Rattus norvegicus: one gene and its partners. The protein of the gene in region 1 interacts with the protein of each later gene in a biochemical or structural test. Links are inferred from orthologs where the notes say so. Each region holds a gene or a part of one and is shown in the gene's direction. Other genes may lie near its edges. The genes, in order: Smad1, Mapk1, Acvrl1, Smurf2 and Stub1.

Region 1 (5,208 bases):
GCGTGTGTGCGTGCGTATGAAAGTGGTGCTCATGCCACCGACCAACTTTGTGGAATCTATTCTGTCCTTCTCCCTTTACATGAGTTCCAGGGATCAAGCTCAGGTCACCCAGCTGTGTGACAAGCTCCTTTCCCCTGAAGCCATCTGGCTAGGGGGCAATGCACATTGTTAACTGTGCTTGAGTTTCTTGTGAGTGGGAAAATTTGAAGTGAAATGCAGCAACATGGTTTAGTCTGAAACTGTGTTTCAAGGCTTCCTCGGGTCAACAGGCCAGGAGCGCTGCTCTCTGGCTGGAGTCCTGTGATCCATCTGGGCTGTGCTTTCCCCTCTGGTCAGAGCTGTGGAGCTGACAGTTGGTGTTCTGGTCATTTGCCCTCACTTGCCGTGAGGCTGTTACCGGTTTTCACCGTTCTCATCTCTCTCTCTCTCTCTTTCTCTCTCTTCCTTTTTCCAGTTCTCCCACCGGTGCTGGTTCCGAGGCACAGCGAGTACAACCCTCAGCACAGCCTTCTGGCTCAGTTCCGAAACCTGGGACAAAATGAGCCCCACATGCCACTGAATGCCACGTTCCCCGACTCCTTCCAGCAGCCACACAGCCACCCGTTTCCCCAGTCCCCCAACAGCAGCTACCCCAACTCTCCTGGCAGCAGCAGCAGCACCTACCCTCACTCCCCGACCAGCTCAGACCCGGGCAGCCCTTTTCAGATGCCAGGTAGGAGGGGTTCACAGAGTGGGGATGGGGTGTTCGGGGAGGTGGGTGGGCGTGACCTGTAAGGAAGAGGTCTGAACCCTAGAGCAAGTCCCAGTGAACGGCGAGTCCTTCAGAACATCAGTTGTAGAGAGAGGAGTCTCACAGCCAGACAAGGGGATGGCCTGTTTGATTCCTGCTACATTTTCCCCTTGTTTTCAAAAGTTTTGAAACAGCTGCATCCTTCTGGGAGTGGCACAATTGTTCCAGCCTCGGCTCTCCATGAGAGAAAGGGGAAAACATCATGTTACAAACAGTGATGTTCCGAGAAGTAGCTCCAATGAGTGCTTCTGACATCGAAGAACCCTTGCTGTCAGTGCAGCCCTGGAAGAGCTGTTTTCTGAGGGGTCACAACCCCCATTTAATTAGATTCATTTAACCAGTGATGTGATCCCAAGAAGCATGTACTTTTAACAACAAGGAATTGTATCAGGAGTGCTGGAGACCATCTGCTTGTTTAACTTAGCAGAGACAAAGCCAGTTATTTTCCTGTTGTAGTCATAACGGATGCTGTGATAGTTCTCAAAATGGGTGATTAATTAGAACGTTCTAGTTTTCAAGTTGCAGGTTAGTAAACAAGCATCTCAAATATTAGTGCTAGAATCCTTGACGGTCAACAGCAGGAAGGCTACTATAAACAAAAGATCATCTTGAGATCTGGGTATTTCTGTGAGGGCGATAACTGGGCGGGCAGGTGTGTTTACGGAGCCACTAAAAGTGCTTTAGATTAAATTTTAATTCAATGTCCATGTTGAAAAGTGGTCCACACTTTATTGCTGTTTCTTCTTTTTTCTTTAATTATTCTTATTTTAATTCAACTTGTTTATTTTGCATTATGTCTGTCTGTTTGGGATGAAGGTGTAAGAGATTATTTTGATAACCAAAGTAATAACTCGATGGTTTCCTATCTACCCATTCCCTGGCAAGTCTGCTGGGCCTGCTGGATGGGCCGGTGGTGACGGTCCATTTCAGAGGACTTTTGACCACCCCAGGCGAGCCCCAGTAAAGAGAAGCAAAGACTGTTGCTAGGATTCACTCCTGTCCTTGGCCATCAGGGATTAAAGCAAAAGCTGGAGGAGCGAAGCTCGAGCATGTCCTGGGGGAGGTGGTAGAACACTGTTGGTGAGACCCTGCCGCCCTGAGCCCTGGTGGCGCTGCTGAGATTTTCACCGCCTGTTGGGGTACATTCATCCGGTTCTGTTGAGCAGCCTCCTGGCTTTGCTCCTGACTCCAGACAAAGCAGACTTTACCTTAGAGCTGCACCAAGAAGCTGGAGTGCAGGGAGGCCCACTGAGACGCACAGGAAAGGTCTCTGGAGCCCGGCTGGCTCTCAGCTTTTTGGCAGCTGAGTTAAGACTCTGCCAGGGTCAGGGGTGGTGGGAACTGCCAGGGAGCCCTGTTGCCCCTAAGTATTTACCCAAGCATTTATGGATCCCTAAGGTAAAATTTTGTTCTCAAGGCTCTGCCGTACATGCTGGGTGGGCTGACAGGCCAACGAGGAGCTGTATTTGGTTTTTAAGTCCTATATTTCCCAGTAAGAAAATAGCAGTCTTGCATTAATATATGTGGTTTCAGTAATCTTATTACTTGTTAGAAACTGTTCAGAAGGAGACCTATGTAAATTCTAAAACAGAAGACAGCTGAGCTAAACTGTTTTATCTCCTATTATTCTGTTACTGGGGGTTTTTAGGCTAGTCATTGCTTAAATGGTTATGGTGAAGGTAGGCCTAAGAGATTGCTTAAAGTCATGGGAAACCAAGACTCAGTGAATAGCAAATTCCTGCCCAGAGGTTTAATGTCAGAGACCTGGAAAGAAGTTTCTCCTTACCAAGTCTTGTCAGGCAGTTTGGTTACAGGAGTGAAACCAAATTTGAGGGCTCTCAAGAGTCTGCTGCACCCGTGTCCTTCTCAGTGGGTTTAAAGTGACGTGGTCCTAGAGAGGTACGGGGACTCCTGGAGCCCACTTAAGGGTCTGTTGTCACTGGAAACAAAGTTTGGGGATATGATCATTTTCTGAAACTATACCTTAAGTCCAGTGTCTTTAGGCTTACCCCTCACCCCTCTGCAAAGGCTTAGATGCTAAACTGTTGCCGAGATTAGCCTTGACTTCTCCATCATCCTGCCTTTGCTTCCCGACTGCAATCCTTGCAGTCAAACACCACCGTGGAAGGCCCTTTTGTTAAGGGACTGGTTCAGCACAGGGAGGCAGGGACAAGCAGATCCCTGGGGCTCACTGGCTGGTCAGCCAAGCCTGCTTATAGAGTCCAGGCCACTGAGAGTCCTTGCTTCCCCCACCCCCGCCCCACAGAAGGTGAGCGCTTGCCCGATGGCTCAGGGGGTATATACTTGCTGCCATTGTGAAGGCTTTCACTGAGTCCCTGAAACCTACATGTTGGACCTAGCTCCCCAAGTTACACTCTGACCCCCACTTGTTCCTTCTCCCCCACAGTAATTAAACCCAAAGTTATCCTCTGACCGCCTACATACAGTAGGCGTGCACCTGCATTCCCGTGAACAGTGTGCACAGAGACAACACAGAAGAGAATCTATGCCTGAAATGTATTTTTTTTCTTTAAACCGTTGTAGCCGACACACCCCCGCCTGCTTACCTGCCTCCTGAAGACCCCATGGCCCAGGATGGCTCTCAGCCTATGGACACGAACATGACGAACATGACGGCACCGACACTGCCCGCGGAGATCAATAGAGGAGGTGAAGTCAGCTGCCGCTCTCCCTGTGAGAGTTTGTTGTCTGCAGGTCCAAGTGTTGCTTTCAGTCATATAGACCTTCAAACAGTAGCTGTCTAGAAAACAGAAAAAACTGTTGTTCTAAACCTGAAGGAAAGAATTCTCTAGAATCCAGCCCTTTGCCTAAAATCTCTGCCACAGTCTCCTAAGGAGTCTCAGAATTGAATGAATTTTCAGTAGCCTATGAAACGGCCTTAAGCGTCTGTTTGCCATTTGGTACTAGGAAGTTAAGTGAGGCCAAGTCTCAGCCTTGGTGATTAGAAAACCAAGCCGTTGGCAAACTCTGAAGGCAACCGAATGTGCCATACATCCGTCAGAGCTGAACAGTCAGCTGAGATTTATTGTTTCCGTAAAAGGCGAACAGGCGTATCTCATTAGCATGCTAATCTGCTTATACTTTTTGTAAATGGCTAAGTAATATAAACAAAGAACTGTTTAAATATACATTTATCTATGGTTTAGTGTCAATAGACACATGGTTTGTATAGCTGTTTCATGTACCTGTGTGCATATGAGAGCTCTTGCACATGGGGCAGCCGAGGCCTGTTTTACATTACCTGTGTCTTTTATTTAGATGGCTGTGTATTCAGGTCTTCAGTAATTAGTAACTTGGGATCGGTGCTGCAAGAATTGTCTTTAAATGGGCCAAGAGGAATGGGCCATCCGCAGTAGTGCAGAGCGGACTTCCCACTGGTGATCTCACTGGAAATCCATACAGCTGGGTTTCCAGACGGTTCCCTTTGTGTTAGAATAGACAGGCACACACGCATGCACACACAGATGCTTACATAGAGGTGTGCATGCGCACACACACACACACACACACACACACACACACACACACACCCCTTGTCTATTTTAGAGCCTTTATCGTTGTAACAAGTAATGGTGCATTTTTCCTCTCTCTGTCCTCCTGCCTAACTTTGTTACCAGAAGAATTAATTTAAAGGATAAGAATTTACTCTTGGCTGGGGATTTAGCTCAGTGGTAAAGCGCTTACCTAGGAAGCGCAAGGCCCTGGGTTCGGTCCCCAGCTCCGGAAAAAAAAAAAAAAAACCAAAAAAAAAAAAGAATTTACTCTTTTCCCCCTCAAAGAATTTACAGCTGAACTGACGTTCACCTTCCCTCAGGGGAGGAGCTGGTCTTCACCCCGAGGCTCATTTCAGCCCAGTATACCAAGTGCACATTACCCCATGCCAAGAGGTACCATGTGCCCTGGCGAGATCTCCCATCCGCTCAGTAGCTTCTGAGGGAGCCTCCAGCAAGCATTCCACCCGGGGATGAAGCAAGTTGAAATTAGAAGCAGTATGGCTGCTTGAACGTGTCTTGTTTTGTTCTAAAGCCCATTTCAGTGAAATGAGAGGTGCCTTGGACTGGATCCGAGTTCCTGGTGCTTTTTCAGGACTTAAATATTATGCTGTCCCTGTGGTAGCACGAGGATAGTAGCATGCTGGGTTCACATGTGATCAGATGCACACACTGTAGCCAAGAACAAACCCTAATGCTCACTCTGGATTTGGGATGATGACATGTCCGTGTAGGCTCTGGGATTATATTGAATATGCCAATCTGATGCCAGATCTCTGTGGTGGGAGGGCATATGGGAAGTCTCACTTTGCAGGGACCTGAAGTGTTGACTCCAAAATAAATACTCTCAAAAAAAAAAAAAAAAGAAAAAGAAAAAAACCTTAGCAGTACAGTTAAGTAAATTAG
Region 2 (5,860 bases), on another chromosome or scaffold:
AGTGTTGGCCACACAAGAGTTTGCTTCCAGGGATGGCAGAAAAGTACCCGAGAGACTGTAGTAGCCACTCACTATCTCCTTATCTCTGCTTTTCTGGGCACCACCAACTTTGACATTCCAATTTCATTCCTCAGTTTAGTGGTGTTTGTGATCGTTTTTTTTCCCCTAAATTTTGTTCATCTTTTTCAGCCATTCTAACTGTGCTGTGTTTCAGTATGCCCATCTGTACCAAGCAGGCGTTGTGGGACAAAACTTTTCCTGGGGAGACATTACACACGTCTCCTCACTACAAAAAGGAGCTCACAACAGAGCAAAGTGTGGGTGCTGCCAAAGTGGAAGAGTGTCCTTCCAAGTGCATAGTTGTCTAAACCACTACCTGGCAATTGGTAGAGCTTTGCCTCCTCCGGGTAGCTGGTCTCAAGAGTCTTTGCAGCTCACCTGAGCTCCATTTCAGAGGGACTCTCAGCTTTTATTGCTTACTCTGGTGAGAGGGGCCTAGTGAATCTGGTCAGTTTCAAGGACTTCTTAAACTCCGTTGAGTTTTTTGATTGTTTTTTTTTGTTTTGTTTTTGTTTTTGTTTGTTTGTTTTTTGCTTTTTTTGTTTTTTGGTTTTTTTTTTTTTTTTTTTGAGACTCTTGGCTATCCTGGAACTCATTCTGTAGACCAGGCTGGCCTCCCATTCTTAAGAGATCTGCCCCACTCTGCCTCACAAGTGGTACATGTGAGGCACCACACTGACTTGCTCCTTTCAGTTTTTTACCTTATTGTTTAAGGAGTTACCCCTCCGGATAGAATGTTTCAATCCTTCAGGAAAGTGTTACACAGCACCTGAATCCAAGTCCCGGAATTTCACTGTCTTTCTCCAGCGTCCCCACCCACAGCTCTTTATATTTTCCCTTGGCTTTTTATTTCTTCACAACACTTAAGTGCAAATATTGTATTTTGCCTGTCTTTTCACTCTGGAAACATGGCTGGCTCCAATGCTATAGGTATTAAGCAAATTTTCTTGAAGAAACCTCTAATTAGGGGATTCAATGTCTTGTGTTTTGGTTTCTACTTATTTATGTCTCACACTGTTAGGTGTGCGTCACCAGTAAGAAGGTAGATATACGTAGTTAGTATAAGAAAAGTTATATTTTATTATGCTGAAGGTCATCATGCAAGGTTTACACTCTAAACTCCTTACATTCCTAAGCCTGTCTTCCCAAGGCTGTTCACCTGTGTGACCTATCTTAGCTTCAGGTCAGGTCTAATCTCTAACAGAAGTCTCTGATTTGAGGGTCAGGATTCTGAGGGAGATTCTCTAGCCACAGAACAGATCAAGGTGCATCTCTCCAGATACGTAGAGCAAAGCATTGCTTTTGGTCTCTGCTTATATTTTGTCCAGTAGGCATCATGGGATTCTAGGACTATGTCATCTCCATGTCACTGGGCTCTGGGTATCAGGAGCAGCCTTAGGTACTGTAGGGTTCCTGACTAATCTGTTTTTATATGTCCAAAAGGCATCTTTTTTATTTATTATTCTCATTACAGGGTGAAAATATTTTTCTGGGTCTGGGTCATCTTTTTGGTTTCTGTCCCACTCTGACGGTCTAAGTGCATAAGAGTGCAGAATGTGGGCCACGTATTCCTAGAGGCCTGTCTGTCTCAGGGGTCCCGTGGCTGGTGTGCAGTGAGTCCTCTGGTCTCAAGTCCCTGGTCCCGCGCGAGTTCGTTCTGGACCAGGTACAGTGGTGGGACTCTGTGGGGTCATTATGCCTAAGTTCCAATCTAGCTTTCTAGAGCTACCCAGCCCTTAGCTTTCTGAACGCACGTGACGTCCCTCCCCCGCAGCCGCAGTGCTCCTGGCTTACTTCGCTGCTTCCGCCGGCCCGCGAGACTCCGCCCTCTCTGAGGGGAGAAGCCAATCATCACGCACGCCCTTGACTCCGCCCTAGCGCCCCTCGACGCGAGTCCTTCCCTCCTCCCACTCGCTGCCCGCCCGCCCGTCAGGCAGGAAGGCAGGCAGTGGTTCTACCGGCGGTTAGTTCTCTCTTCTGTGTTGTCCTCCCTCCTCGTTCCCGATCGCCGCCAGCGGCTGCTACACGGGCGGCGGCGCGGTTCCTGTGGGAAGCGCAGCACAAGTCGAGCGGTAACCGCGAAGCGTCGAGCCCAACGCGGCGGAGGCTGTGCAGCCAACATGGCGGCGGCGGCGGCGGCGGGCCCGGAGATGGTCCGCGGGCAGGTGTTCGACGTGGGGCCGCGCTACACTAATCTCTCGTACATCGGAGAAGGCGCCTACGGCATGGTTTGGTAAGTGTCTGCGCTGGTTTGCAGGCCCGGCCTCACGCGGTCATCCTGTGCCCCCTGCCTATGGCTGATCTGGACGCAGCTGCGGCCTTTCCCGCGCCTTGGCCTCGCGGTCCGCGGCGCCCCCGGACCCGTGGCTTCTCCTTGGCCCGCACTCCTGGGGCCCTGGGGCGGGGTCCCGGGGGCCCTTTCGAGGTTTAAGTGTTGCTCTGCTGCTTCCTGAGCTGACCCTTCGTTTGCTGTTGGAAGGGCATCTCAGACCGAGGCCAGGACTCGAAGACTCCCGGGCTTGGTCTCGAGCGCGTACTTTCGAGGCTTCTCCCTTGGGTCGGGAACGGAAGTGCACCATGTCCCCTAGTTCATAGCGTTATAGCCGCCGCCTTTTGACATTAGATTAAAACTAGGAATTCCATTAGATGCATGTCCGTGGTGGTGGCGGCGGCAATGGTTTTGCAAGACGGAATAATGGGCTTGTGTGCTGAGCACCAAAATATTTTTATTCTCTCTGTGTACGTGAACAGCATTCACAAAATATCTTCAGTAGAGCTAATGATGCGTTCTACCTCAGGCTTTCTAAAAAACAATGACACAGCGTTGGTTGTGGATATACTGAAATCTTGAAGTTTCAAAATGGATTTAAATATCATACCGATTGTGTTTCAGGAAGGATAAACCAGCATCACTCTTAGAATTATTAAGATGTATTTGGAGTTAGGCCTAACTCCAAATTTGACTTTAAATTACCCCGTCGTTACCCTCAAAAGTACATGTGAATGTATCCATAGGTATTAGCCCTATTTACTGTGGTCGTTTCCCTAACGTTTTAGTGTTCACTATATATACACAACCACTTACAGTACTTTCTGCTTGTGGAATGAAGTGTATTGTTTTAATTAAAGCAAGTTCATTTATCGAAGGTTTCTGAGGTAGTTAATTTTACTTGGATAGCCATCTTGAAGAAAGAGAAGACACCCTTTTTCAGATAAGGTATTGAAAGGAAGTCTTTTTCCCAAGGGTGAAGAACTAGAATCATGCTTTCTATATATAGAAAGATCCTGGTTTAAATGCTTCAGCTCCTCAGCTATGATTGCACACGCCTTTCCTTGATTTATTAATAATTTCAGAACTTCAGCATATTTTCCTGATGAACAAGTCTATTTCAGAAATGCATTCAAATTTGAATGGTCATAATTTTAGAAATGCCAAGAAAGATGTGTTTTCACCAAGTGTGTTAACTAGGTAGAATAATTAACTTTCCTTTTTAAAGGACCGGAGAATAGTTATATTCTTATGAGCAAAATGTTTCATAGTATACAATTATGAAGGTAAAAGTGAACTGGACCTGCGAGTCAAAGGGGAAATTAAATTTAGGTCACGGTTACAAGAAAGTCTTTGTAAAGGAATGGGGAAAAATTACTTTCCACATCACATCTGTCTTGCATGTATTACTGCCCTTGCACTTGCTGGTAAGTATGCCAGTAACTCTTATTATTGACACTCAAATGATTACCCACCATAGTCTCATTTATTTAAAAAAAAAAAAAGAATAAAAAAGCTTACTTTAAATAGAGACAAAAAAATTTAGGACCACCTTAATAAGATGGATTGTTTAGATCCTGTTGCTATTGACCTTTGAAGTTTCCGCTTGCTGTGCAGAATTCTTTTTAAAATTCACATTTTAGGGGTGGAGAGATGACTCAGCAGTTAAGAGCACTGGCTGCTCTGGGTTCGATTCCAATGACAGCCTAGTCTGTAATTATAGTTCCAGAAGATGAGATGTTCTCTTAAGTCATGCATTTAAGCAAGACATTCATATGCATAAAATAAATAAAACTAATTAATTTTTTAAGACAAGGTTTCTCTGTGTAATCACCCTGGCTATCCTGGAACTCAATTTGTAGATGAGGCTGGCACCTACAAATTTTAATTTTAAGAAAAATACAAATATAATTGAAATTTAAATCCAAGCATCAGCCTCTTATCTCCAGATAATGTATCTTAGTATTTATTTAATATTCTTAATTGTGTGTCATTATCATCTGATTATTGCTGAGTTTATGGCAGCTTCTCAGCTTAAGTATCCACTTGAATAGTGATCTTTAAAAGCTGGAAAGACGGGGTTGGGGATTTAGCTCAGTGGCCCTGGGTTCGGTCCCCAGCTCCGAAAAAAAGAAAAAAAAAAAAAAGCTGGAAAGACGGCATAGTGGTTGAGTACCTGCTGCTTTTGCAGGACCTAAGCTCAGATCCCTGCATCTGTGTTACGTGACACTACCACCCACCACCTACTGCACCCCTCCTTCCAAGGGCATCTACACACATGTGGTCCAACGAAGACTCACTAGGGTACACACCCTGGAAACTGATTTAAGAATAACTCTTTAAAAAAATTACTTGGGGGTTGGGGATTTAGCTCAGTGGTAGAGCGCTTGCCTAGGAAGCACAAGGCCCTGGGTTCGGTCCCCAGCTCCGAAAAAAAGACCAAAAAAAAAAAAAAAATTACTTAAGGGATTTTCAGCCGTTCTTAGCAGGATTTCCGTAAAGCAGGTCGTGGAGAATTGTGCCTATTTGTTCAAGCTCCCTTCATAATCATTATGTAGAAGACAAAAAGATAAAATGTGGGTGTGGGAGGTGTAGCAGTTAAGAGCTACAACCAGAATTCAGTTCCTAACAGCTTGTAACTTCAAGTAGTCTTGATGTCTCTGACCTCTTATGGGTTCTTCTGTGTGCACACATATGTATGTATATGAATGCACATAATTAAAAATAAAATGTTTTTAGAAGAAGACTGGGTTTTGAGTTGGGCATTTAAGAGTGGGTGTGATTTTGATAGGCAGATAATAGGAACAAGTAACAGCTTGAGCTGATGAGTCTAACCTTAGAAAAGTATTTAGGTAAAACACCGTAGAGGACTCCGTAAGAAAAGGCGGTGGGAAAGAAAGCAGTGATGTTTTTGAGAGTTGTAGGCAAATTTAATTTTGGTGGTGATACAGCAATTAGGCCATTGTTGCCATCTCAAGGTACAGTAATTAAGTGTCATTGGAGAGGAGGACTCTTGAGCAGACAGAATCAGTCATAAGAGGTCTTGTGGAAAGTCATAAGAGATTTAATGAAGACAAGGTAGTTATAAGGTGGGGAGCCAAGAAAGATGGGTTTAGGTTTAAAGATTGCTGAGCTAAAATGAGAAGTGTAGGACTGGTGCCATAATCCAAGAGAGGGGGTCCTGAAGGCAAAGCAGGTTTACCATGGAGAAACAGAGATGGCTGTGTCAGTTTGTGAAGTGTAACAGGCTGGAGAGGTTGCTCAGCATTAATAGCATTTGTTCTTGCAGATGGCTTGGGTTCAAATGGTAGCTTGCAACTGCCCTTAACCCTGGTTCCAGGGGATCTGACCTCTTCTTCTGGCTCCACAGACACATGATATACAAACATAAGCAGACAAAACATACAGAAAAAAAGAAACCTTTCTATACCATGAGTAATAGTGAAAATCTTGAGTGGAGGAGTGCAAATTATTATTTGAGGCACTGGTTTCTTAAAATTGTAAACATGCATGTTCAGCATCTTTTCGGTA
Region 3 (5,208 bases), on another chromosome or scaffold:
AATCCAATCCCTGCGACGTACTCGTCGAGAGGAGAGAACCATCTTCCTCAGATTGTCCTCTGACCTCCACATGTGATCCCATTTAGTGTGTATCACACACACACACACACACACGAATAAATAAATAAATAAATAAATAAATAAATAAATAAATAAATGAAAAATATTGTGATCTAGAAGGCAGCTGGGGTTTTTGGCACATGCCTTTAATACCAGCACTAGGGAGGCAGAGGCAGGCAGATCTCTGTGAGTCCAAGGCCAGCCTGGTCTACATCGCAAGTTCCAAATCAGCAAGACAAATGAGACCTTATACTTAAAAAAAAAAAAAAGTTAAAAATAAATAAAATCGGATTTTTGCAGAGGGGATCTATCTTCATAGCATCCGGAATTGGGGTGGGGGTTTTTAAGGACTATGTGTGTCTAGTGCGTGGTCCTTATTCTTCCCTTGGCCACGGATTAGGAAAGGGCCGATATGGCGAGGTGTGGCGCGGTTCGTGGCATGGCGAGAGTGTGGCGGTCAAGATTTTCTCCTCACGAGATGAGCAGTCCTGGTTCCGGGAGACAGAGATCTACAACACAGTTCTGCTTAGACACGACAACATCCTAGGCAAGCTAGGGGACATGTCTGCTCTCCCAGGCCAAGGCACCCCAACTCCCTCAACTCAGGGCTGGAATACACCGAACTGGGCATTGATGTAACTCCCAGACCAGCTTCAGCCTTCGGTCTCTGCCCCACCCCTTCTGTGCCTCAGCAGCTCTACCTTCTCACCACTCCTTCCTTCTGGGTACTTTGGTCACACCCTTCTGTTTACAGGCTTCATCGCCTCCGACATGACCTCGCGGAACTCCAGCACGCAGCTGTGGCTTATCACCCACTACCACGAGCATGGCTCCCTCTATGACTTTCTGCAGAGGCAGACGCTGGAGCCCCAGTTGGCCCTGAGGCTGGCTGTGTCCGCGGCCTGCGGCCTGGCGCACCTGCATGTAGAGATCTTTGGCACTCAAGGCAAACCAGCCATCGCCCATCGTGACCTCAAGAGCCGCAACGTGCTGGTCAAGAGCAACTTGCAGTGTTGCATTGCAGACCTGGGTGAGCAGGAGAGAGGGGGTGGGGCTTCACCTGAGGGCGGGGCTTGCATGCTTGGCTCTGCCTGTTTTTGTTCGGGAGAGAATTGGAGTGGTCACCCTGTGTGGGAGCCCTGCAGGACTGACACGCCAAACACCCGCAGGATTGGCTGTGATGCACTCGCAAAGCAGCGATTACCTGGACATTGGTAACAACCCCCGAGTGGGTACCAAGAGATACATGGCACCCGAGGTGCTGGATGAGCAGATCCGCACAGACTGTTTTGAGTCGTACAAGTGGACAGACATCTGGGCCTTCGGCTTAGTGCTATGGGAGATTGCCCGGCGGACCATCATCAATGGTGAGAGCCCACCGTATGCAGGTTGTGTGTGTGCGCGCATGCATGTGTGTATCTGTGTGTGTGTGCATATGTGTATGTGTCTATGCATGCATGCATGCATAAGTGTGTGTGTGTGTGTGTGTGTGTGTGTGTGTGTGTACACGGATGCGCGTATGTGTGTAAATATATGGAGACCTGGTTTTCTGTGGTGGCTGGTCTTTTCTGCCCTTGACCTGATGGTTTGAGGTTAGAGCTCCTAGTTTTCTTTTACTGCTATGAATCGCCTAGTTCAGCACAGATGGACTTTAAGGCTCATCTGAACCTGGGAGGGTGTGGATGTGGCCTTGAAATCTTGAGTTAGAGACAAAAAAAAAATATTCAAAGCTGGAAATATAGTGGTAGAATGCTTGCCCAGCATGTTCAATGCCATAGGTTTTGATCCTGAGCATAGGGGCGGGGCAGGGAAGCAGCTAAGCTAGCTAGCATTTGTGGAGCTTAAATATGTGTCACAATGTATACTCTAACTTGTTGAAGTCTCTTATTTTGGTAAGAGTTGGCATTTGGCCAGTCAGATTGCCTGGACTCAGTTTCAGGTTTTGTCCTGACAGGGAGTACTTAGCCCTGGTGTGCCTCCTTCCTCATTTGTGAAATTAGGAGGAAAAAAAAAGTGTTGTTGCAGACATGATCCAAATTAAGTATTTAGAACAATATCTACAAGCTGGTGTATTCTCAGTACTCATAGGCAGAAGAATTGCTACAAGTTCAAGGCCAGCCTTGAGTTTCAGATCGGCCAGGACTACACAGAGAAGAAAGGCAAACCGTGCCTAGAGCTAAATATTAGTGGTCATAATGAAAGAGCACTTACATATTATTATTCCACTTCCTAAAAGAAAAGACAGAGATGCATGATTGTGGCTGGCTATCTTAAGTCAGGCCATCTGATTCTGGGCCAGTGCTGTCTGTTATTGTGGTAGTTAAATGTTGGTCTTGGTTTCTTCATTCATGTGTAAGCTATCTGGCTTCTGTGCTGCTTGCCTACTGCAGCCTCATTATCACAGTGGATTGCCACAGGAGACCATAACTTGAAAAGACTGTAGAAGCACCTGCCTGTGCAGCCCTGTGCTGGCCTGTGCTCGCCTGTGCTCGCCTGTGCTGGCCTGTGTTGGCCTGCGCTGGCCTGTGCAGCCTTATGCAGCCCTGTGCTGGCCTGTGTTGTCCTGTGCTGACCTGTGCAGCCCTATGCAGCACTGTGCAGCCCTACATAGCCCTGTGCTAGCCTGTGCTGGCCTGTGCAGCCCTATGCAGCCCTATGCAGCCCTTTGCTGGCCTGTGCAACCCTGTGCTGGCCTGTGCTGGCCTATGCTGGCCTGTACAGCCCTGTGTAGCCTTGTGTAGCCCTGTGCAGCCCTGTGCTGGCCTGTGGCTAATGGCCTTTTAACCCTGGGGTAGATGGAGGACCACAGGTTGACTGGACAGCTAACTGCTGCAATGTTAGCGTTTGTGGGGCCTGTCTATGGCCAAGGATGCTGGGAGTCCTGAAAGTTTGCAGACAATCCCGGGCATACTACTAGAGCCCTGCCCCTTGGGACCAGAGATGTTTTCATTTCCTGAGCATCTACTGGCTAGGAGCCAGCCTTTTACAACGTCACTCCTCCTTGGTGGTCATCTGTGACAGCAGAGACCCAGTTGTCACCAGAGAGTCTCCCAGGGGTTCTGATCCCGGGGCATTTACTGCTGGAGTCAGCTCTAAGTGGCTGGAGTTGGGGAAAGGGTACCTGGATGAAACCAAAGAAGTAGGCCTAGCTACGCAGGAAAGGAGGAGCTGATGGATTTGCCTTAGGCTCCTGGGGTGGAGGGGAAGCTCTGTCAGCCTCACACAGACTCCTAGCGCATTATAAACACTGTAATCTGGTGTCAGCCCCGGCACTGATTAAAGGCTCATTAGACACGCTCAGGCCTCTGCAAATCGCTGATTAGGGCGCCGGCGGCACAGGGGCAGCCTGGAAGCCCGCCACGGGGAGAACAGCTGCTGAAGGCTTCATTGAGGTTCTGGTCTTCATGATCACAGAAGCGGCCTGGAGTTGGGAAGGAGGAAGAGACATGGGGCTGCCTCTGACCCCACAGGCACACCTTTCAGAAATGGCTCGGGATAACTAGACATGGGGTGGGGACACCGTTGGTGATGGGGTCTGCAGAGACGTGAACCTTCCCTGACAGTAAGCACATCTTATTTGGACCAGGGAGTAAATCTTTTGCTTCTCGGAGAGGTGTTTTTCTGCTCTTTGTTGCCCTTATTACGTACGAGCCTCATCCAGCCCTACCATAAATGTTGCTGAGAGAGCGGAATCGAGGAATTTGGTGTTGGATTTCCGCCTTAGGTCCCAGTTCTGTCGCTTGCTACCTGTTGATCCTTAAAGACAAAATTTCTGAACATTTGGACCTACTGTTTTTGGTTCAATGCTACAGTCCCCATAGGCCACTGTGAGGCTTGCGGGTAGAGCACTAAGGACCCCTTCTGGCCCACCGGAAGTGCTCTGGGACACACCGGAAGTGCTCCGGAACACCAGCTGTTAGGGTAATCGGGCATCACTCAGGCAGTGGAACCCAGGCGCAGAATGGAAGCTGAGCAAGATGAAAATAAGATCCAGCTTAGGAAGCCAAAAAACGGGTTTCAAGTCCTGACTGTGCCGTGACTGGCTAGGCAACACGAATCCGGTGCTTCTGACTCTAGGCTTCTCCATCTGTGACTCGGGTGGTACCACACAGAGATACCACCAGGAGGACGAATGGGAAATCTTGGAACACAGGCAGTAGTTCTGAGCTATATGCACAGTTACTATATTGTAGGACGGGATCGCTCTCAGGAGAAATATAATCAGGCAGTTAGCCCCAAGCATGGTCATCCTGTGGGTGCTCTGGGTTCCAAGTGATTGTCCCACATCCCTTGAATCCCCAGGCATTGTGGAGGACTACAGGCCACCCTTCTATGACATGGTACCCAATGACCCCAGTTTTGAGGACATGAAAAAGGTGGTGTGTGTTGACCAGCAGACCCCCACCATCCCTAACCGACTGGCAGCAGATCCGGTGAGACCTCTGCTTGGACCAGGGCTGGGCTGGGGCTGGGGCTGGGGCTGGGCTGGGCTGTTCTGGGGCTGGGGCTGGGGCTGGGGCTGGGCTAGGGCTGGGCTGTTCTGGGGCTGGGCTGGGCTGGGGCTGGCCTGGGCTGGACTGGGCTGGGCTGAGCTGGGCTGGGCCGGAGCTGGGGGCTGGGGCTGGGGCTGGGGCTGGGGCTGGGCTGGGGCTGAGCTGGGCTGGGGTTGGGGCTGGGGCTGGGGCTGGGCGGGGCTGGGGCTGGGGCTGGGCTGGCTGGGCTGGGGCTGGGTTGGCATGGGTGGAGATTGATTCTCAGCTGAATTTCTGAGTTCAGGATCTTGGCTCTACAACCTCTGATTCTTGGATAGATTGTGGGTTGTTCTGGGTATTCCCCCCTACACACCTGGCTTGCGGAACCTTCGTCCTTCTCGGACCTTTCAGTCAATCTGATTTTATAACCTTTTTACCTCACTTGCAAGAATCAAAACCTCTCTGCTAAACTTCTCCTATCTGGCTTTTGTTGTTGATGATGATTTTTTTTTTCCCTCAAGACATTCCATACTTAAAGAAATACATGTATATATAAACACACACACTCAGACATATATACACTTGTGGCACCATGAAGACAAAACCTGCGCTTTTAGCTCACTTTTTTTTTCCTTGAGACAGGAGTCTTACTGACCAGGCTGACCTCAAGTTCAAG
Region 4 (5,768 bases), on another chromosome or scaffold:
GTGGGTGCTGGGAACTGGACCCAGATCATCTGCAGGAGCAACAGATGCTCTTAACCACCAAACCATCTCTCTGGCCCATACTGCATGGTTTTAAAGCACACTTAGGGAAGTCTAAACAAAGCTGTCTGAACATTATTCCTATACCCATTTCCCTGAGCTGCCTGCCACACATTCGTAGGTGTTGCTTAAAATTCTCCACCCCCTCCATCCCCTGCTAGGTTTCCCACCATTTTCTGAAATCTTAACTTCCATTTCTCAGTACAAAGCTACAAATTATGCTGGTGGGTGGTTGGGAACAAAGTGTGGGCCATAACCACCAGGGAAATATGAATGCATACATCAGCTTGCTCCGTTTATTGTCACAAGCCTGCGTTTGAAATAGTGATGTAGCAATTGTTCTATCGCCACAGTAACTTTTGTGGGAATGGTTTCCTGAGCCTTCAGATCTTACACAGCACAAAGAAGTGTTTCTTAAGGGCCCTGTTCATTGCTTTGTGAATAATGAGCACTTACAATTTCTTGATTGAATTTCTAGAGCTGTCCCTTGTATTTTAAGTCTTACCGCTAGAACTTATGATTTGGGGATCACTTTAATCCGTAGGAGTGTACTTAGACTGATGAAATGCTTTTGGGTTTCATCTGGAGAATGAAGTGTCTTAACCGATAGATTGTAAGCAACCATTTACATTGTTTTGGATTAAAATGTATTAGACTTCAACGAACAGTCTAAACGGCATTAATGTTATAACAGCCTTAAGCAAAGTCAACGTGGATACAAATCCACACTTTATCCTTAGTTTTCATTACTACTTATGTGCACATAGAACTTGTATTCTCCATTTAAACCCTGCATTACATATAAAATCTTCCATGTAACGTGGTCACCACAATTGCCATTTAGATAGCTGCATAAAAATGTCTTGCTGCTGATGTAATACAATTCATTATTGGGCTATACTCTCATCCCAGCCTTGTAAAACAAAACCCCCAAACACCTGTATTATTTATTTGTCCAGAATAAGTTCCTATTACTGTAAGTTACCGCATCAGAGTTACAGTCCTGTTCATTTTGTCTTTTTTTTTTTTTCCTCCTGGGATAGCAAGATACAGTACTGCCTGAGCTTTAAACACAGTATCCACCTATCTATCTTGTTCACAGTCCTTGGCGGTATTTGTATCATCTCCCTATGCCTGTCCTGCTAGGGAAAAAAAAAAAAGAGTCCGAGCAGGTAAGTAACCGGATCTGGAGTACCAGGTGAGTCCGTGGAGGTGGCAATTACAATACTAAGAGCTAAGCACTCCTGGGAATTTGCTGGAACGTTCGATGTGGGAATAGCGTCTTGTCGAATTAATTCTTCGGACTCGGGTCTAACTTTACTTTACTCTCGCCAGCCTCTTAGGGCGCGCAGTGGGAGTATTACTCGGGCATTCTGCCCTGTAGGGACACAGGCTGTCTTTCAGTGAGCTAGCTGGTCAGCAGGCCCCTCTGGTGCCACGGAGCCGGCGCCGCCGGGCGGTGGAGTTCAGAGATGGGTCTGGGCCGGGACACACGCGCTCCCTGCGTCCCGCGCGGAGTCCGGCCTTCCTCCGGCGCCCTAGGCGCAGGAGACCTCGCCCACAACCCCGCCCCCGAGACGGCCCTGCCCACCACAAACCCCGCCCTGCAACAGGCCCCGCCCCCGTCTCCTCCCCGCCCCCAGGAGCCGACGAGTGGCGGCGGCGGCGGCGGCGGCGGCGGCGGCAGCGGCCCCAGGACCGGGTTCCCTCAGACAAGAGGGCGGGCGGAGGAGGAAGCGGCCGAGCACCCGCCCGCCTCAGCAGACTTCGCACCATCGGCTCCCAGGCCTCGCGGCACCGAGAAGGGGAGACCGAGGCGGGCCGCGAGGACAGGAGGCGGCGGGGGCGCGAGGCGGAGGCGGCGCGGCCGGCCGCGGCTGCCGCTTTGTTGTGCGGCCCGGGCCGAGGAAGCAGAAGTGGGAGGAGGGGGGAGCTCTGCGTCCCGCTCCCTCCGCGGCTCATGGCGACGGCGCTCGGCACATCCGGGACCCTCCGGCCCTGGCGGCCGCGGCGCGGGCTGTTCGGACCCCGGCCCCGGCCGCTGTGGTGACTCCTCCGCGCCTCGCCGTCGTCCCAGCCCAGCCCAGCCCGCCCGCCCGCGGGCCGCGAGCGCCGCCGCCGCCGCCGCCTCCCCCGCCGCTGGGGACATGTCTAACCCCGGAGGCCGGAGGAACGGGCCCGTCAAGCTGCGCCTGACAGGTGAGCAGGGCGGGCGGCTGCGGCGCCTGTGGGCAGGCGGAGGGCCGGGGTCGCGGTCGGTGGTGGCGTTGGACGGGAATCCGGGCGTGGGAAGGCCTAGTTCAGGGAGTCATTGGAGAACCACTTAGCTGGGGTTGGGAAATTCTTCAGAACGCCAAGTGTGTGGCCCGTGGGTCTCCCGTGGAGGGCGGATTTGAGGTCCGGACATCTAGTTTCTTGGGGTCACAGGAGCAGCCCCTGGGCTATTGCCCAGGTGGGGTCGTGAAGGGGATTACTGAATCCAGTTGCTGACTGCGCGCAGTAAACACTCCTTAAATATGGAGTTGAGTGCTTAACGGGAGAGTGCGTGTGTTCCCGGGTTGTTAACTTGGACACCTACCTATGCCCGGGTGTGAAACCTTTACTCTCTAGCTGCCAACCTCTGCGGCCAGTGCCACACACCTTAAAACGCACGTCTCTGGGAGGGACTGAGACTGTGGTTGGCTTTTCCGGCGTGTCTGCCTGATCCCACGACTCCCGGCTCATTGTACACTCTGTGTTTTGGAAGTTGTTTGATTGTAGGGTAGCGTGTTTGGGGTTGTTCCTTGTAGGCCGCAGAACTAGTGGCTCACGTCTGAACTCCAGACATGGTTTAGAATCGCTTGCTTGGAAATGTGTTTCTAAGTCTTGGACTCCTACATAAACTTTTAAGCGAACTTTTACTGGTTCTCTTCCACACTTCGCGCCCCTTTCTAAATGGAAAGGAATGCTCAGAGGGATTTGTTAAAGACTGTTTATGTTCCCAGGTGCAGCAAGTTGTTAACGTATTACAGGTATAATTTGCTTATGATGCCACTTCTGATATTCTTCCGTGGTCGCATCTCCCTCCTTTTAAGGAAAATTGCGTTTGGTTTAAAGAGTGTAAGTGAAACTATTGTCCCTCTGCTAGCTAGACGCATCGTTCACAGTAAGTAAATTGTCCGCATTTATATTCAGATGTGTGGTGAAAAAGACGTCATTTTGCAGTTAGTTGGTTCATATGTGTGTGCACCAGCGAAGGATAAGCTGTAATTATGCTTGCCCACACTAAACTTTGAAATTTATGTGGACGAATGTTGTAGTTGAATGCCTGTGTTAAATGCCAGTCCGTTGGCTGTACCTTTTAGGTAACTTGAAGTGAATTTGGTATTTGAGAATTTAGTTTGAATGTATGTTGGCTACAGCTTCAAATACTTTCCCTTTGAGGCTGAAGAGATGGCTCAGTGGTTAAGTGTATCCTGTTCTCTAAGGGGACCGGAGTTCTACTCCCAGCACCCCCCACCCAGGTCCTTGGCTCACTACCACCTGTAACTCTAGCTGCAGGGGATCTGATGCATCTGGCCTCCCACAAGCACCTGCACTTGTGTACACATACTGCCCCAATCTCCAGTAATGAAAAAATATATACATTGCACTGACCTGAAAGCGTTTCTTTCCCTAGGGAAATCACAAGGTATTATTAACACTAGGTTGGGGGGCGTGCTTTGATCTTCATCTTTACTGTTCTTTTGGGGGAGTCAGTGGAACACAATTATAAAGGATCTTTGGTGCTCTAGTTTATATATTGATATTCTTACTAGGCAGGTCTGTGCCAATTACAGAAAGAAATTGTGAGTGTAGGTGTGCAAAAGCCATCGGAAATGGGCTGTAATTTTCTTCTGGGATACATACATGGGAGAGAAAAAGAGAGGTTTGGGTTTTCTTTAGATAAAAATGAGTTCTGAGGTGGGCTGGAGAGATTGCATAATAGTTAAGAGTACTGCCTGTTCTTCCAAAGGTTTAATTCCCAGCACCCACATTCCAGGTCACAACTGTCTGTAACTCCAGTTCCAGGGGATCTGACACACTCATACCCAATGCATATAGAATTCAAATGAATTATTAAAAATGAGTTCTGAGGTTTTGTTACATTTATGTTCTCTCTCTCTCTCTCTCTCTCTCTCTCTCTCTCTGTGTGTGTGTGTGTGTGTGTGTGTGTGTGTGTGTCTGTGTCTCTGTCTGTGTGTGTCTGTCTCATGGCCATGGAGTACATGTGGTGGACAGGATAAGGTGGGATCACCCTTTTCACCTTGTGAGTCTTACCAGTCAGACTTAGGTCATCAGGCTTGAGAGAAAATACCTTAACCCTCAGTGTTCTGAGGGGTAGTGTGACTGAGCAGCTCTTATATTTATGTCATTTTTTTTCTGTATATGATAGTTTAAAAAGATTTATGAGTGGCATTTGTTAGGTGAACATGATAACCACTGCACTAAAGAAACTTCCCTTGAGTGAAGTTTGAGAGGAAAAAGATCACACTTAGTTTCTGAGCAAGAGGATACATTCGACTAAATTTATAGAGTGATTTTGTACACTTAGCTTTTTCTGAAGAATTTTAAATATCTGTCCTCTCCTCTTAATTGTAAAAACAGTTTGAACTACTCTCAATTTTTTAAAGCTATTGGGAATTTTCCTGTGAATAGTTTTCGCAAAGTCTGACAAATATTAAAACCATTGTTGTCTCTTTGATTACATATGGTGGAATCTCCTGTTTTGCAAGGAACATTAACTCACATTTTTTCATTTTTGTTCATCATTTACGAATTAAATAGTATAAATTTTAACAAATAGATCTTAAGAGCTGGATTCAATTAGCAGCTTTTTAGGACACAAACATAAAAGGGTTAGATGGAAAAGATTGTTTTGACTGACTGGATAAATGACAGGGCTGTGTTTGATGTGCGTCCAGGACTTGGTCTGGAGCTGGTGCCCAACTTCTCAGTCCATCTTGAGAAGCCAAATAAAATATTTAACCTAGGACTCTTTTTGTTTAAAAAAAAAAGTTGATTCTTTGTTAAGACTTTAAGAAATGTTTGGCATACCTTTAGATTAAGTGTTTAACAGTTCATTTAAATCTGGATTCCCTAATAGAGGAAAAAACTTAGTTTAAAAAAAAAAATCCACAGTGAACTTCTATTTGGTTTATAATACACTTGAGCTATAAGTTGTTTTAAGATGACTTTTTTATTCTAAGTTAAAGCCATTTAAAAGTTTACATTTGTGGAAATACCTTTGATTCCACGGTACTTTATGAGCTGCAGTTAATTACATCCTTAATGGAGAGTCGTCCACTGCTGAAAGGTGTTAACAGATCTTTCATAGCCACCACCCTCCACCCCCATGAGACTCTGCCCACTGTGGATATTTTCCACAGACTATTACTAAAATCCACCCATTAGTAAATTGTGATATTGTTGAAGAAGGTGAGATGAAGTTATTATCAAGTTGAGATTCCTTAAGCCATTGGTGAGTATATGGTCTGTCCTATCAAGTTACTTCTCTTAGTTTTTATGACACATTAACATTTGGTCATTAAAATGGGCTATCTGGGAACACCATTAATTTTAGGTTGTGTATTTAGAGTGGGGAATGGATTGATTACATATGTGTAATTTGTAGTTCGATACATATCTAATATAGGCATTCCTACAAACATTAAGAAAGGATTTGGGTTGAA
Region 5 (5,802 bases), on another chromosome or scaffold:
CCCTGTGCTCGGCACACCTGGCCAATGTTGTCATGGTAATGGGACTGCCTTTCTGGGGAGGTGGGAAGGGGTCCACTGGACGTGCTTCACAGCCTGTCTGCCTGACCCCCATCAGAACTGGGCTGGGATGCGGTGTCCGTACAAGCTGCTGCGGATGGTGCTGGCTCTGGTGTGCAGTGAGTAGCGGGGCAGGTGGGGCGCTGGGAGGCCCTCTCCCTGCAGACAGGGCCCCTCCCACCTGTTGCTCCCTCTGCAGTGAGCTCCGAAGTGGGCCGGGCTGTGTGGCTACGCTTCTCCCCACCACTGCCTGCCTCAGGCCCACAGCCTAGCTTCATGGCACACCTGGCTGGTGCAGTGGTAGGTGTAAGCATGGGCCTTACCATCCTTCGAAGCTATGAGGAGCGCCTGAGGGACCAGTGCGGCTGGTGGGTGGTGCTACTTGCCTATGGCACCTTCCTGCTTTTCGCCATCTTCTGGAACGTCTTTGCCTATGACCTGCTGGGTGCCGATATCCCCCCTCCACCTTGACCTGCTCCTTAGGGCCGTATGGCTTGAGCTAGGCCTTCAGTGGGTCAGCCACCAGGTGGGCCTGCATGTCTGCCCTCTAGGAATGGACCTCTTGGCTGCTTTTCCCCACGGGGGGACAGGGGGGCCCTGTGATCCCCCCAGCTGAAGCCAAGTCTTACTGCAGCCCTTGCTGCCCCTCCCAGGCCTTTCCAGGGGGAGGGGTGCTGCTAGGCCAGGGCTGGGTGGAGGACCTTGAATGTGGCCCTAGAGGAGCTCCCTTCCCTCCCCACCGACCCCTCCCAGGACTTGCAGTCTGAGCCTTTTTGGAGAATGAATAAATATTTTACACAGCACCAGGTAGCTGTCCTGGGGCTCTGCAGGCTTGTCTGCCCCCTCACCCAGGCTGTATGAGACGCCCCCCCTCCAGGGTCTGTGCTTCCTCTCTCTCCCCTGAAGCTCTGCACCTGCATGAGGTGGTGGCTTCACTCCTGGCCAGGGACGGAATCCACAGGAGGTGGGGCCCCTGGGAAGAGACTGTGGACTTCCGGGTCAGTCCAAGTTCAGCAGTCGTTTATTGTGCTCCAAGAGCTTCCAATCCCGGTTCTTGCAGCCTCCCTTCCAAAGGCAAGCCCGAGACAGAGCCAGGTTCACTTGGCCTGGGTCCTGTAATTCTTGGCAGGTCTATAGTCCTTATGGGAGAACCAGTTGGGGTGAAGTTCAGGCAGCAGGTCTGGGCATACATCTGCCCATAGTCCAAGTTTGCAGTGCTCTCTTCACAAGATGAAGCGTCTACAGACAGCTCTAAGGCACTAGAGATCTACAAGAGTTCTGGGGTCGAGTTACTAACCATCGGAACCATGATGGGGTCCTGGGTGACCCCTCAGGCCCCTGCTCAGAAATGCAGTGAGCTCTTGCACCTGGGCTAGAAACAGCAAGTAGTACTTGAGTGTATGCTGCAGCGTTAGCAAGCCAGGAACTGTAGCCACTGCAAAGAGTGACAAGGAGGTTCTGGGGACATTTTTTTTTTGAGTTCCTAGAGCCCCCACCCAACTTGTGCAAAGATGCTCCCTACTCACTCGAGGCAGTGGCAGAAACCACGCAGCGAAGTTTGACTGCGGCGCACAGATCGGCAGAAAGCCGAGTTTTGCTTCTCCAAGTCCCGGGTGGGGGATGTTAGCGGCCAACAGCTGATGCAGCAGCGGCTAAAAATGCCTCATCTACAGACCTGGGGTCAAAGGGTCTTGGTGCAGGCTCTCTCCACGGAAACCTGCTGGCACCGCCCTTGAAGAAGCTCCGCCCCATGACCGCAGAAGGGGAGCGTCCAGCCGCGGACCCGCAGCTACCTCTATAGCAACCGCAGCAGGTCCTTTCGAGTCAACGCGTCACGTGCTTGTTTCTCAGCCAGTAATGGCCGCAGGCAGCTTCTCCCGATTCCCGAGGAAGCCTCTCGAGGGTGGTCTGACCTGCGGGCCTCTCTCCTTCCCTCAATTCCGCCGTCCTACCAGCGGTCTAGACGTTCCCAGGCTGCCGCATGAGCCCGCGTGCGCCCCGGTGGCGCGCTAGGACCTGGGCCTAGTGACCGGCCCTCGGAGCGCCACTTCTCCAGCACGGACCGCTGCCACGTTCGCGTGGCGTGGGCCGGAGGGTGGGGCTTGACTGCCAATGGGCGGAGCCTTGGTCTGAATATTGAGGGTAGGTCCTAGTTACTGTAGGGCGGGGCCGGTAGAGAGCGCAGCGGTAGCTTCTCCGGGCTAAGCGAACCCGCTCAATCCGCGAGGCTCCGCCTTTGCTCACGTGTCCCCATGCCAGCCCCGCCCCACACCGGAAGTTCCGGTGGCGGATCGCCGACCGGGCGGAGCTGATAGCTGCGCGGGCTGCGAGATCTAGGTGGCCGGGCGCGGAGCCCAAGCCGTGCCGCGCGGCGCCATGAAGGGCAAGGAGGAAAAGGAGGGCGGCGCGCGGCTGGGCACTGGTGGCGGCGGCAGCCCTGATAAGAGCCCGAGTGCGCAAGAGCTCAAGGAGCAGGGAAACCGGCTCTTCGTGGGCCGCAAGTACCCGGAGGCGGCGGCCTGCTACGGCCGCGCCATCGTGAGTGCGGGGGGCGGGGGCGGGGGCGGGGCCCGATGTGCCTCCCAGTTCTGTGATTCCCGGACGATTTCTGGCAGCCTAGACCCGGATTGCTGTTCCCGAATCCAGGGCAGATTGACTGGGGACTGGCGGGCGGGATGCTTGATTGAGGCAAGCTAAGGATGACACCAGAAATTCTTGCCCCTTGAGGCTCCCAAGCCTAAAGCTGGTGGAGGGGTTCTGGGATTTTTCTCAAAAACAGTTGGAGGCAAGAGAGCATGGCTAGAATCCAGAGCTCTGATAACTCGGAAATCTCCAGTTCCTCTCTTCCACCCATGGGCCCCCAATGCTGGAGAATTGTCCGGATCATTGGCTTTCAGCTTGCTATTAGAGAGGGGATCAGATGAGCCCACATTCTTTGTCACCTGATCTTGGTTCCCAGACCCGGAACCCACTTGTGGCAGTGTACTACACCAACCGGGCCCTGTGCTATCTGAAGATGCAGCAGCCTGAACAGGCACTTGCTGACTGCCGGAGAGCCCTGGAGCTGGATGGGCAGTCTGTGAAGGCGCACTTCTTCCTGGGGCAGTGCCAGCTAGAGATGGAGAGTTATGATGAGGCCATTGCCAATCTGCAGCGAGGTGGGCTGACAAGATGCCAGATTGTGGGCACCTTTGGGGCCAGGATTGTTGACAAGTGTAACCTAAAGTGTCCACTCCCCCAGCCTATAGTTTGGCCAAGGAGCAGCGACTCAACTTTGGGGATGATATTCCTAGTGCCCTTCGCATTGCTAAGAAGAAGCGCTGGAACAGTATCGAGGAACGGCGCATCCACCAGGAGAGTGAGCTGCACTCCTATCTCACCAGGCTCATTGCTGCTGAGCGAGAGAGGTGGGTCCCGCCCCCAACAGTTAACACCGAGTCAACAGTGCAAGTGTTTATTAAAGGACAGCAGCCGGTACATGGGAAGCCCGGGAGGAAAGAGGCCTGAGATGGGAAGGGATCTGTCATTTCCCTGTTGGGGCCATCACCAGCTGGCTTTTTCTTGACCCTCAGGGAACTGGAAGAGTGTCAGCGGAACCACGAGGGTGATGAGGATGATGGCCACATCAGGGCCCAGCAGGCCTGCATTGAGGCCAAGCACGTGAGGGTGCCCCTAGTCCACATGTGGGTCGTTGTGTGTGTGTTTTTGTGTGTGGCATGAGAAGTGCCCCAGCCTATGGTGGCTCTGTTGGCCCATGCATGACATGAGTGCCCCGGTGGACAGAGTGTGTGTGTCTGTGTGGAGGAGACAGGAGTTGCCCACACATGGCGCTCAACTCTGCAGGATAAATACATGGCGGACATGAATGAGCTCTTCTCTCAGGTGGATGAGAAAAGAAAGGTAAGGACGGAGCCTTGAAGCTCATGGGCAGGCTCTGGTATGGTGACTTCCTTTCCAGTTGCAGACATTTCCCTCTTGTGCTGCAGAAGCGAGATATCCCTGACTACTTGTGTGGCAAGATCAGCTTTGAGCTGATGCGGGAACCCTGCATTACACCCAGTGGCATCACCTATGACCGCAAGGACATTGAGGAGCACCTGCAGGTAAGGAGGGCCTGTGGTCTCGGGACTGGGATCAGGGGACACTCAGGCCATTGAATACTCTTGACTCTGTCGTTGCAGCGCGTGGGCCATTTCGATCCTGTGACCCGGAGCCCTCTGACCCAGGAACAGCTCATCCCCAACTTAGCCATGAAGGAAGTCATTGATGCTTTCATCTCTGAGAATGGCTGGGTAGAGGACTACTGATACCCCATGTCCTGCCTGGCACCCTGGCCCAGGAGGGTCTGGAGGCAGAAGCTCCAGTCCCTGTATATAGTTTGTGTCCCTGGGCCTGCCCCCATCGGTCCTGATGATGGGTTCTGAACTGCTCCCCTTCTCAGCATATCCCTTGCTGGGCCATGAGCCTCCCTTGTCTCCCTTCTGGGCTGGAGAGCTGGTGAGGGTGGGTTGCTGCTGCTGCTGCCACTGTCCTGTAATAAAGTCTGTGAGCACTACATTGGCATGTGCTGGTGCAGTGGGCTTGCCAGTCGCTTGTTGGCTAGCCAAGGAAAGTGGATATGAAGACACTGGTGTCCAGATTGAGTGTGGCATGCCACCACCGATCAGGAAAGTACAGCGCCTGGGAGAAGGGGCACGGAAAAATAGTCTGATTCCCTAGTTTTTGGGTTAGCCCAACCCCCACCTACCAGCTACTGACTTCACCAGCCTGGATGGTACATTCTAGAGGCCGAGCTGATGGGGCTAGAGATGGGTATATTTCCAGGAGCCAGGCCAACGTGGTCTTGTTAGGGTGGAACTCAGGTGTCTTCTCAGGAGGGTAGAGGAACCAGCGCTGGAGGCAGGAATGTTAAGGTCACTCTCATGTGCTATGGACTACAAACACCAAATTCATGCCCCACCCTTGCACTGACCTTCCGACCATAGATAACCTCTGAGAAACCAGGCCCATGCCAGTGGAAGGGTACCCCAGATCCAGCTCCTGTGGGGTCAGTTGTGAATAGCTGATGAACAAAATATATACGGGCTTCCCCCAAATCTGTTTGAAAGGAGCACCTACCTGCAATTCCAAAGCTATAAGCAGGGGTGGTTCCCAGTAGACGAAATGGAGGTGGACGGTAATGTTGGAAGAGTGGGGCCCACTCAGTAAAGTTGTTATCTCCGAAAAAGTACAGGGTGTCTGCCAGCAGAGAAGATGACAGGCAGGGGTACTGGCAACAGTGGGCTCCAAAGTGTCCCACTCCCACTGCTGCCTGGGTCTGGCTCACCATTGCCTAGAGATTCGGGGTCCTGGGGGTGCAGCAGCTGCTCCACATATTCCTGGAAAGGCAGGTCCACTACAAGAAGGGGGAGCCAGGCGGGACTGATCAGTCCTGCCTTTGGGATGTAAAGGCAGACCTTGAGGGGTGTGTAGCTCACCTTTCTGGTAGGAGTAGGTGTTGGCTGTACTCAAGCGAACAACATTGTCCCCAAACGAGGCCAGCAGGTTTTCCCGGGAACACAGGGCTCTGAACTTCTGGGGATGGAGGATAAGATAAATGAACAACTGGCCAAACGGGACCAGTTGCCCACATGCGCACGAGTACTCACCGAGTTGTCTGTGAGTCCTTGCAAGATGACGGGCTTGAGGAAGGCATAGCTGGGGGGAAAAGGGGAGCATGTTGCACAGAGGTTGAACCCTACAGGG

The links.
Region 2: of the proteins of Smad1 (region 1) and Mapk1, one has a biochemical effect on the other in vitro, tested with the Homo sapiens proteins (3 studies listed by BioGRID). The link is inferred for Rattus norvegicus from reciprocal best matches to the Homo sapiens genes SMAD1 and MAPK1.
Region 3: of the proteins of Smad1 (region 1) and Acvrl1, one has a biochemical effect on the other in vitro, tested with the Homo sapiens proteins (2 studies listed by BioGRID). The link is inferred for Rattus norvegicus from reciprocal best matches to the Homo sapiens genes SMAD1 and ACVRL1.
Region 4: the proteins of Smad1 (region 1) and Smurf2 form a complex in vitro, tested with the Homo sapiens proteins (2 studies listed by BioGRID and IntAct, with this or other methods). The link is inferred for Rattus norvegicus from reciprocal best matches to the Homo sapiens genes SMAD1 and SMURF2.
Region 5: the proteins of Smad1 (region 1) and Stub1 form a complex in vitro, tested with the Homo sapiens proteins (3 studies listed by BioGRID, with this or other methods). The link is inferred for Rattus norvegicus from reciprocal best matches to the Homo sapiens genes SMAD1 and STUB1.

Annotation. Positions count from the first base shown.
Region 1 is NC_086037.1:45,458,397-45,463,604, forward strand, and holds part of Smad1 (mothers against decapentaplegic homolog 1), read left to right. Parts: intron 1-454; coding exon 455-712; intron 713-3,334; coding exon 3,335-3,460; coding exon of another isoform or gene 3,461-3,505; intron 3,506-5,208. UniProt on the Homo sapiens protein: Transcriptional modulator that plays a role in various cellular processes, including embryonic development, cell differentiation, and tissue homeostasis.
Region 2 is NC_086029.1:97,523,932-97,529,791, reverse strand, and holds the start of Mapk1 (mitogen-activated protein kinase 1), read left to right. Parts: upstream 1-1,966; 5' UTR 1,967-2,180; coding exon 2,181-2,293; intron 2,294-5,860. UniProt on the Homo sapiens protein: Serine/threonine kinase which acts as an essential component of the MAP kinase signal transduction pathway. MAPK1/ERK2 and MAPK3/ERK1 are the 2 MAPKs which play an important role in the MAPK/ERK cascade.
Region 3 is NC_086025.1:134,126,545-134,131,752, forward strand, and holds part of Acvrl1 (serine/threonine-protein kinase receptor R3 precursor), read left to right. Parts: intron 1-460; coding exon 461-607; intron 608-814; coding exon 815-1,090; intron 1,091-1,229; coding exon 1,230-1,427; intron 1,428-4,362; coding exon 4,363-4,493; intron 4,494-5,208. UniProt on the Homo sapiens protein: Type I receptor for TGF-beta family ligands BMP9/GDF2 and BMP10 and important regulator of normal blood vessel development. On ligand binding, forms a receptor complex consisting of two type II and two type I transmembrane serine/threonine kinases.
Region 4 is NC_086028.1:92,358,115-92,363,882, reverse strand, and holds the start of Smurf2 (E3 ubiquitin-protein ligase SMURF2), read left to right. Parts: upstream 1-2,102; 5' UTR 2,103-2,204; coding exon 2,205-2,256; intron 2,257-5,768. UniProt on the Homo sapiens protein: E3 ubiquitin-protein ligase which accepts ubiquitin from an E2 ubiquitin-conjugating enzyme in the form of a thioester and then directly transfers the ubiquitin to targeted substrates.
Region 5 is NC_086028.1:15,354,088-15,359,889, reverse strand, and holds Stub1 (E3 ubiquitin-protein ligase CHIP), read left to right. Parts: upstream 1-2,330; 5' UTR 2,331-2,433; coding exon 2,434-2,595; intron 2,596-3,016; coding exon 3,017-3,215; intron 3,216-3,298; coding exon 3,299-3,464; intron 3,465-3,497; exon of another isoform or gene 3,498-3,629; coding exon 3,630-3,717; exon of another isoform or gene 3,718-3,900; coding exon 3,901-3,957; exon of another isoform or gene 3,958-4,043; coding exon 4,044-4,160; exon of another isoform or gene 4,161-4,238; coding exon 4,239-4,364; 3' UTR 4,365-4,612; downstream 4,613-5,802. Other genes in the region: Rhbdl1 (rhomboid-related protein 1), read left to right, coding at 1-35, 116-176, 257-528; Jmjd8 (jmjC domain-containing protein 8), read right to left, coding at 4,657-4,737, 4,816-4,950, 5,030-5,097, 5,176-5,295, 5,384-5,452, 5,535-5,628, 5,706-5,754. UniProt on the Homo sapiens protein: E3 ubiquitin-protein ligase which targets misfolded chaperone substrates towards proteasomal degradation.